2 linked regions of the Caenorhabditis elegans genome follow. The protein of the gene in region 1 interacts with the protein of each later gene in a pairwise test. Each region holds a gene or a part of one and is shown in the gene's direction. Other genes may lie near its edges. The genes, in order: bkip-1 and slo-2.

Region 1 (3,748 bases):
GGGCGTAGGTAGGAAGGCATGAAAAAGGCATGTAAGTAGGTAGGCATAAAATAGGCCACAAACGCAGGTAGGTAGGCAGGCACGTCCGCCTGTATGTATATGCACCTACCATGGAAGCCCAAAGTAGGTTTACAAATAAAACCTTAATTTTCCGCAAAATCAGTAGGCAGGTATGTAGGCAAACAGTTATTTTTGTTTTTAATTTTCAAATTAAAAATAAAATGAAGTTGTTTGTTCTGAAATATTTTCTTAAAAAAAAACAATTACCGGAAAGTTGAAAATTTTATTTTAAAATTTAAAACTTAATAATTTTCAAACTAATAGTAAGTTTTCGTAGAATTTTTTTCATTTAATTTCTGACCCTTTCCTCTACAGTACCCCATTGTACAACCCCATTAACCCCTTAAAGCTCGTCCTTTTAATCCACCCCATGACAAGGCCAATTTTCTCATAAAGCCTCCAAAAATTCCACCCCGTGGCAGTTTAATTTGTGCTCTGCTGTGCTCAAAATGGCTATACAGCTCATAAAATTTTTTTTTCGGGGGGCCGCCCATATTATTTCCAAGAAAACTTTTTGAAATTTTATGGGCCATCGAAATTTCGAGAGGAAGTTCTGGTTTTTGCACTTTCGAGACAAACTGATCTCTGCGCCAATTCTTTAATCTGTTTTGAAAACAAAATTGAACTTTTCAATTTTTTTTTTATCCGAAAACTGAAAAACTTTAATTCGGATTTTATTTCAAAACTTTTTTTAAAAATTTTATTTCAAAGCTAACCTATCGACCTTGCCTGCCTTCCGTGCCTACTAACCTACCGACCTTGCCTGCCTCTCGTGGCTACTTACCTACCGACTTTACCTGCCATCCGTGCCTACTAACCTACCGACCTTGCCTGCCTCCCGTGCCTACTTACCTACCGACTTTACCTGTCTTCCATGCCTACTTACCTACCGACTTTACCTGCCATCCGTGCCTACTTACCTACCGACCTTGTCTGCCTTCCGTGCCTACTAACCTACCAACCCTGCCTGCCTTCCGTGCCTACTAACCTATCGACCTTGTCTGCCTTCCGTGCCTACTAACCTATCGACCTTGCCTGCCTCCCGTGCCTACTTAACCTATCGACATTTTTTGCGTCAAAAGGCAGTAGGTCGCCTTCAGGCTACCTTCTTTTAAAACATGAGAAGATGTTCCCTCTATTATTTTAAGCTTTTTCAAGCAGCTCCCTAGCCTGAAGCCTTCCAAAAAATCAATTGCTCAGGCATGTGACCGCTTTCAGCTAATCTCATTACCTTCTCGTGTGAAATTTCATTTTTCTTTATGTTTTAGCGTTTTTTGCTGGTTTTATTGGTTTTTATACTACTGATTTTTAAAATTGAAATTTTTCAGAAATTTCAAAAAAAAAATGTTTTAAAAAATTTTCTAAAAATTCTGAAAAATTTTCAAAATTGTTTTTACTGAAAATTTCAAAAAATTTCCCAACAAAAGTGACATCATCATTTCTCAAGCCCATTCATCTCTGAAAAACTTTCAGTTCTCAAATTTCACTTTGCCCTTTTTGTTTCCCATAATGTCTACATTTTTTCAACTTTTAAAACTCAAAGTTCAATTACCCTTTATTTCAAAAAATAATTTCAAGAATTTCCAGAATTATCAGCCAAAAATGTATATAACAACATCGCGAGTGAACAAAATGCAGCCTGGCGAAATTCTGACGTGGATTATGTTCTGTTTCACAGTAGCTTTGGCACTAGGCGTGGTCGCCTATTACAAGTTTTGCAAAAAAAGTATCTTGTAGTTTTTGCAGTTTTTGTAGTGTATAAATAAAAAAATTTCAGATCCTTATGCTCATCATCATTATCAAAGGCCTTTGATTACGAAAAATTAGACAATGATTTCAGTGAGTTTGGAATTTTTTGATAAATTGCCAAATTGTCAAGTTTCAATTGTCAATTGTCAAATGACCAATTTGTTATTTGACAGATGTCAAATTGTCAAATTGTCAAATTGCCAAGTGCCATCTTGTCAATTGTCAAATCTCCAAGTTGTCAATTGCCAATTCGGCAAATTGTCTAATTGTCGTTATGGAAAATTGTCAGATAGCCAAGTATAAAATTGTTAATTGTCAAATTGCCAATTGTCAATTAATGTCAACAATTGTCAATTGTCAATAATTGTCAATTTGCCCATTGTCAATTGTCAAAAAGTAAAATTGGCAAATTGTCAATTGACAAAATTTCGAATTTTCAAATTGTCAATGATTGTCAACCATTGTCTAATTGTAAATTGCCTATTGTCAAAAGGTCAAATTGGCTAGTTGTAAATTGAATAATTTTTGAATTGTCAAATTATCAAATTGTCAATTATTGTCAAATTGTCCATTGTCAATTGTCAAAAAGTAAAATTGGCAAGTTGTCAATGGAAACAATTTTCGAATTGTCAATTGTCAACTGAAAAATTTTCCAATTGTCAAATTGTCATTTATTTGACAGAAAAAAACAATTTTAAAAATTTGCAAATCGAAAAAAAAACTTTTTTCCCTCACAATATTTGATAGATCTAAAAAAAATTTCAATTTTCGAAACCGAACAAATTCTCAAATTTCGAAAATCTCCATCTCTAATGAGCCGGAGCACAAGCTCAGCGGCGTGGTGGTCCACCATGCTAGAGAGCACAAAGAAGCGAGAGACCGCAGACACATCCAGCAGAGCTTCTCCAGCTCTCCACACAAATCGATTATATTTTTGTGCTCACATTTTCTCATTCTGCTTATTGTTTTTTGTTGCTCGGAAATAAATGCCACAAATTGATGGATATTCTCATAGACCTGGAGATGTTGTGGGTTTTTATTTGATTTTTTTGTTGGAAATTTGAAAAAAAAAGGTTTTTGTCGATAATGGATAATTCTGTCAGAATTCAGAAAATATTATGAATTCTTAATTTTTTTGTTAGAAAACAAGTTGAAAAATTAAACAAAATTTCAAATTTAGCGCCAAAATTGTTTTAAAAAAGTCAAAAATTTAAACAAAAAAATTCAACTTTTTTCAGAAATTCCAAGCGGGTGAATGGTACACACTTTACGCATCACTTTTCATGACTATTCTCATAATTGCAGTCGTCTCATATTATACACTTATTGCTCCTGGTAAGCGGTTTTTTAATTAACAAAAATAATGTTTAAATTTAAAAAGCTCCTAAAACCAATAAATTAACAATTTTTCAGCTGAATCAGCATGGAAAGTATCAAAGCGAAAAAAGCAGCAGTGATTGGTATTTGCCTGGTTATTCATCGATCCTCATATTTTATTGATTGATTTTTTGTACATTTTTGGCTTTTCGAATGAAAATTTTAAAATTTGTGGTTTGATAAAAGAAAACGAACAATATTTGAATGAAAAATTATTTTTCTGAACTTTTTTGTCTAGAAATGCGGCAATTGTGACATATGCGACAATTGATGTTCGGCAAATTTTTTTGTCGACAAATGGGCAAATTGGCAATTTCGGCAAAACGGCAAATTTTCGGCTTGCCGATTTGACAGAAACTTTTGGCAAATTGCCGGAATTTTTCAAAGGGATTTTTTATAATACGGAAACACTTGAAACTGCGCCTTTTTGAAATTTTTCCCATTTTTGTAAATGATATTTTCATAGAAATTGCTTACTTTTCAAAATAGATGTAGGAAAATTTATAGGATGAGTACAATTTTGACGATCAAAATCGAGTTTTTGAAATTTCCAAAAAAAATT
Region 2 (5,295 bases), on another chromosome or scaffold:
CAATTTGTCATTTTCTGTTCATTTTTTTTTGCTTTCTTTTTCTTTATCTTTTCTTGCGCTTTTCTGCCATTTAGAAGCTGTGCACGGAACTGGAAGTCAGCGATATATGTTATCAAGTTTCACTGGGCGACAAATTCAATCTACTTCTATCTCTATCCTTTCCCCATGTAAGCCTTGAGTTCCCTTCTATTGAATTTACACGATGCCTTTTGTGTAAAGCTGATGCCGCCTGCTATTCTGTTGCAAAATTCGGATTAGGATTTTAGTTTATTTCCGTTTCATTTTGCAGCAAATGATCTCCGTTCGGGTCTTCTGAGTGATTTTAAAAAGAATGGAAACACAGAAAAAGGTACTTTTTCATTCTTTCGTTGCGAGTACTTGTCTTGAAATATCTTCATCTTCTCAAGTGTGTAGGACTCGGGTATGCATGACAACTGTGTCTTTTCTTATGAATATAGTTCGTATTTTACTTAGTTTTGTTTATTTCCAACTAAAATGGTGTACGCTTTAAACGACGTGAGTTTCCTATTTATAATTGTTTTAAAAAGCTCATAAAATGTTTCCCATTTTTAAAAGTTATAAACTGATTCAATCTCTGACAGAATAAACAATCAATTTGAACAGTTTGTTGCTGTTTTTTTTTTCAAATAAAATGGTGTCTTCAAACTTCTAAACGGAGTATGTTTTTGTTGTGCTCAGTCGCTGTGTATGGCTTCTGACCTTATAACCATTTTATGTTTGATTGCAGGTTTTACCACCAAAATTGCAAGAAGAGCGAAGGAGGCTGTTAGAGTCAGGTTTGTCATAACAATTTATAATTACAATATTAGTCTTGGTCTGCTATACGAAAATTATCAGTGTTTGTTATGCGATACTAATATTCAAGAGCTTCACAGTAAAACACATCTGTGTCCCCTGTGTGAAAGTAATAACAAACTTCATACTTCTGTTCTAAGAACTGGTGCTCACTGGCTCGAATTAAACAAGGCTTAACCTCGAAATATAAGAATAAGTAGGAAACAGCTCGCGCGTGCTCCATTCATAAATACAAATGAGGTATTGATGACGCTGCCGGACAGATTCCAAAAACAATAAAATCTTTTGGGAGCCTTCCTGAGCTCCTTTTTCTAAATGAAATTTTGGTTTTCATTTCGATAGCTGCAGATAAGTCCATATTTATATCGAGGCAAATATAGTTTTTATTCCGTTTCCACCTCCTCACATTCACTGACTGGCTCTGTTTATTCTGAACTGACTGACAACATTCTCAACTAAAGTTGATCGAATCGTTCTCGTTTTACTCCGTTCAACTTCAGAAATGCCGTATGTTCCGTTTCTGTGTAAGTTATTCACCAAGTAATTGCTACTAACATAGTGTTTTCCTGATAGTCAATAATTGTATTTAATATTTTCAAAAATCATCTTTCTGAAAACTGAAGAATGCAGAGAAAGTTTAAGTTTTCTATTCAAAATTTCTAGTTCAATTTTGTCTTCTAAACTTTTGAATTAGAGGTGAGCTTATCTATCTTCAATCTTCATCAAAAATGAAAATATTTCAATATTAAAAAAAAAAATTACTTGTATGAAATTAACATTTATTTTTAATGGAAAACTTGAAAAAAACAATTCCAAAACTGCCTTAAAATTGTCATATGTGGCAACAACTTTCAACCAGTTTTAAAAATCTTTCTTGGCGCTTTTAATGAAATTAAATTAAACTTTATGAAATTAAATTTTTAAATTTATAAAATATTTTTTTCTGAATACATATATGAAACCGCTTTTTCAGTGCTGAAGAAGCTGTGCTCAAAATTGTTTTGTTTTCGAGAAAATTTCTACCAAAGGCCCTCTGATTGTTACTCAAAACTGACCACTTGAAAAAAATAAATGCAATTTGCAAGGGATAATTAACAAGGAAATACCCAGGTTCTCATGCTTGGAAAGCCACAAAAAAGAAAACAAATGACCGACAGAGGGAAATAGAGACGAAAAACTACTACTTTGAGTCAAGTTCCTTCAACATTTTCCCTTATTGGCCCGTTTATTTTTTTAACATTTTGAAATGTCTGATGACATCCAGTATACTGGTCTACGTAGAATTCCATCAATGTCAAATATGAGTGATCAGGATGTAGATGGTGAGCACACAAACTCTTTCTAATTTTGAATTCTATAAAAAATTATAACAAAAGTTTCAACATCCGTCGTTCCTTTCATCATATTCCTTTTCATGCCCTCAAGCATTATGAGTCTGACTGAAAAACGTGAATTTTGAAACATGTCCGGTCTGAATGAAACTGCGACGACAACACCGCAAATGATGAAATTTTTCTAATTGAGAGTGCTCTTTTCCACTCCGTGAGCACATCCAAATACGCGCATCTTGGTTAATGAAACAAATTGGCTTTGCCATTCTGAAAAAGCGTTTCCTCAATTTATTTCTCGGTTTCTGATTTCACTGTTCAGATGGATGATATCTACGAAGAATATTTTGATAACGATGGTAGGCAAACTTTGGAAAACTAGAAATGTCCAACTTGTTGAGAGAATATAACGAAAAATTTTTATCAGCATATTCCATGTTAATTGGTGATTTTATAGGAAATTCCTTTTTTTTGATTACTGCATAATTAATGATTAACAATTCAGAACTACAGCTAGTGGAATGGCCTATGTAATATAATAATTTTGCTCTCAACATAGTTCTATAGCAGAGTATTATAGCGTCAGAATAAAATGCAATTCTGTATCACAAAAGCGTAAAAGCCGATTCGCTGAAAATACTCGCAAATAAAAAAAAGTGTTATTTCAGTTTGGCATTTCACCGAGACCAATAAATTAAAAATAACTGCTGTAATTTACTTAATCGTGTTTTCACCTTATTCGAAAATTGAAAAACACTCTAAAGCAAAAACTAGCTTTGAATAAGATTGGTTAACATAGCTCGGCAAGCTCAATATTCTGGTATTTGTAGCAGTATAATATTGGCATCGACAAAGCTAGTGAATATATTTATTTAAAAAATGTCTTTTTCACATCATTTATTATTATTTTTCAGACATTGCCCGTACTGATTCGGAGGCAGAAGGCACCGTGTACAAAAACTCATATGCTTCGCTGATGAACGAGCTGCAACCAACAACTTCTTTCGATGATTTCAAGCAGTCGATTACTCAACTCACGGACATTTTCCGTGCAGATCCGTAAGTTTTATCCATTCTGAGAGTTTCATACTTGTCCGTTGAAAATTAGAAAAAATATTTATTTCGAGACAACGCATGTGATTTGAAAATTCTAAATCCTACTGGACGGATTAGACATAAGAGGAGTGAGGCTCAAATTAGAGAAGAAGAAGAAGACTCAGATACATTTCTTTTGCATATGCTCTTTGTATGAACTAGTATCATCTTCTATTCTGTTACATTTTTGCTGTGACAGATGAAAAGAGCAGTAGTGGGGTTAATTGAAATTTCGCTTGACGAATACGGAATTTCTGAGTTTTATTCTTCATTCTAACTATCTTATTGGTCATAAGTTTTGCCTACTTAAAAAGTTGAGAAATTGCAGTTCATAAAAGCTTTCCATATGGCGGAAGGCTCTTCGTTTTAAACACGCTAAGATTCTTTAACTATTAAAACTTCAAGTTCCAAGATAACTTGGAGCAATAAAAAAGAATAAAATATGTGCGAGAATTAAGTTGAAAAGCTGCATTGATTCATTGATTCATTCATTCTTCTGATGCTTCTTCTTCTTTCTTTTTTCTTTCGGGATGACTTCTGCCACAAACACATCTTTTTCTTCATCTTTGTTGTTGCTCGTGCCCCTTGGGGAAGTTTTCATGAATCTAGCGGATTTTACTTTTTTCATATCCATTCTTTCATTATCTGAACATATCTAACGTACTACATTATCTCTTGTGACCCTTCTCGTCTTGTGTGGACATCTAGAATCCATTCATGTTGTCTATTCCATGCCACAATTATTATGCATTCAGGGTGAAGACGGGGTCGAGCATCTAGAGAATTTCCCTTTTTGGAGTTTTTTCCTTTTTTTGTTGAGAAGTTGAAGTACTTTAAAAGAACATTAACTCAGTATTTTGGAAGAAAAATGTAACATTTCTGCACTATTAATATTTATTTTTTTGGTATCAGATTTTAGAACTATCATGTCATCAAATTTAACAAAAAAAAAGTTTTAAAAAGTAACTTTTTAAATGATTTCAGTTGTAAGTCCTGAATACAATTAAACATTTCACAACTTGTGAATGTATCATGTGCCAGAAGTTAACATTTCCAAACGTTAATTGACCTCACACGCATCTGTTCATAGAATCACTTCCTTAAACAACCCAAACGAAGCTTCAATAATTAGCTCAATTTCATGCTCCACTAGTTTTTCTCGGATTTCCAACACACTTGAGATTTTTGTTTTGTTTCTGTTATTTCATTTCAGTATATTTTCTCTAAGGACAACTCTTAAGTATTAAAAAATATATAAAAACAAGCATAGTATTGTTTTTATGTTATTACTTAATTTGTGGAGAAATACTGCTTTCAAAAAACCGGAACTCATGTTCACTTCATAACTTTTTGAAGAGTGGGCTTTTTTCATCTGTTGGGTTGTAAAGTGAAACTTTCAACTTCTTCCTGCAGAGAGAGAGCATATCAATATCCCACTTGTTTTTTGCCCTTTCGAAATCTCATTCGGCTCCTCTCAAAAGTTTCTTTGACTCAATATTTCGGGTATGCAATCATGGTTGGGATGTGCCCTCCGACACCCGAGAGACCAATAAGGAGAAACTAGTGAGTCAAAAAGATGAATACTTTCTTACTTGTTCTCTTTTTTCTCACCCTTATTTTCACTGATTTTTCCTGACGTTTGTTTTTCATAACAAGCTTCCTTTTTAGTACTGTTTTTTTTCCATTTAAAAGTTTTGTTAATATACTAACATGTAGATGCACGATGAGGACAACCAACTCGGTGAGCTCCTTGCAAGACGGAAAGCTTCACCCAATGGGATTTCACCAGCTCCAAGCACCCAGCAGATTCTTGAAGAAGTGTAATAGTTTTTTATGTGTTTACAACCTGTTGACTATCTCTAAATATCTCATGGAACATAGAACAGAGACGCGGGAAAATTTAATGACAAATCATGCGTAGAAGAAAAAAGTTCTAGAAGATAGAGAAAAAGTGTGAGCCCATAATTGAGCGCCGATTGACTCTGCTGTGCGCAGGCAGGTGGAACAAGGAATATGAGAAAAAGGTGTACATGTCCAAAACTATATCACTTTTTGT

Evidence for each region.
Region 2: the proteins of bkip-1 (region 1) and slo-2 interact in a protein complementation assay, tested with the Caenorhabditis elegans proteins (one study listed by BioGRID).

Annotation. Positions count from the first base shown.
Region 1 is NC_003280.10:14,099,601-14,103,348, forward strand, and holds bkip-1 (BK channel Interacting Protein), read left to right. Parts: upstream 1-1,662; coding exon 1,663-1,793; intron 1,794-1,837; coding exon 1,838-1,899; intron 1,900-2,759; exon of another isoform or gene 2,760-2,795; coding exon of another isoform or gene 2,796-2,837; intron 2,838-3,047; coding exon 3,048-3,064; downstream 3,065-3,748.
Region 2 is NC_003284.9:11,400,968-11,406,262, reverse strand, and holds the start of slo-2 (RCK N-terminal domain-containing protein), read left to right. Parts: upstream 1-2,062; coding exon 2,063-2,138; intron 2,139-2,466; coding exon of another isoform or gene 2,467-2,503; intron 2,504-3,058; coding exon 3,059-3,203; intron 3,204-4,701; exon of another isoform or gene 4,702-4,752; coding exon of another isoform or gene 4,753-4,802; intron 4,803-4,955; coding exon of another isoform or gene 4,956-5,059; intron 5,060-5,269; exon of another isoform or gene 5,270-5,295.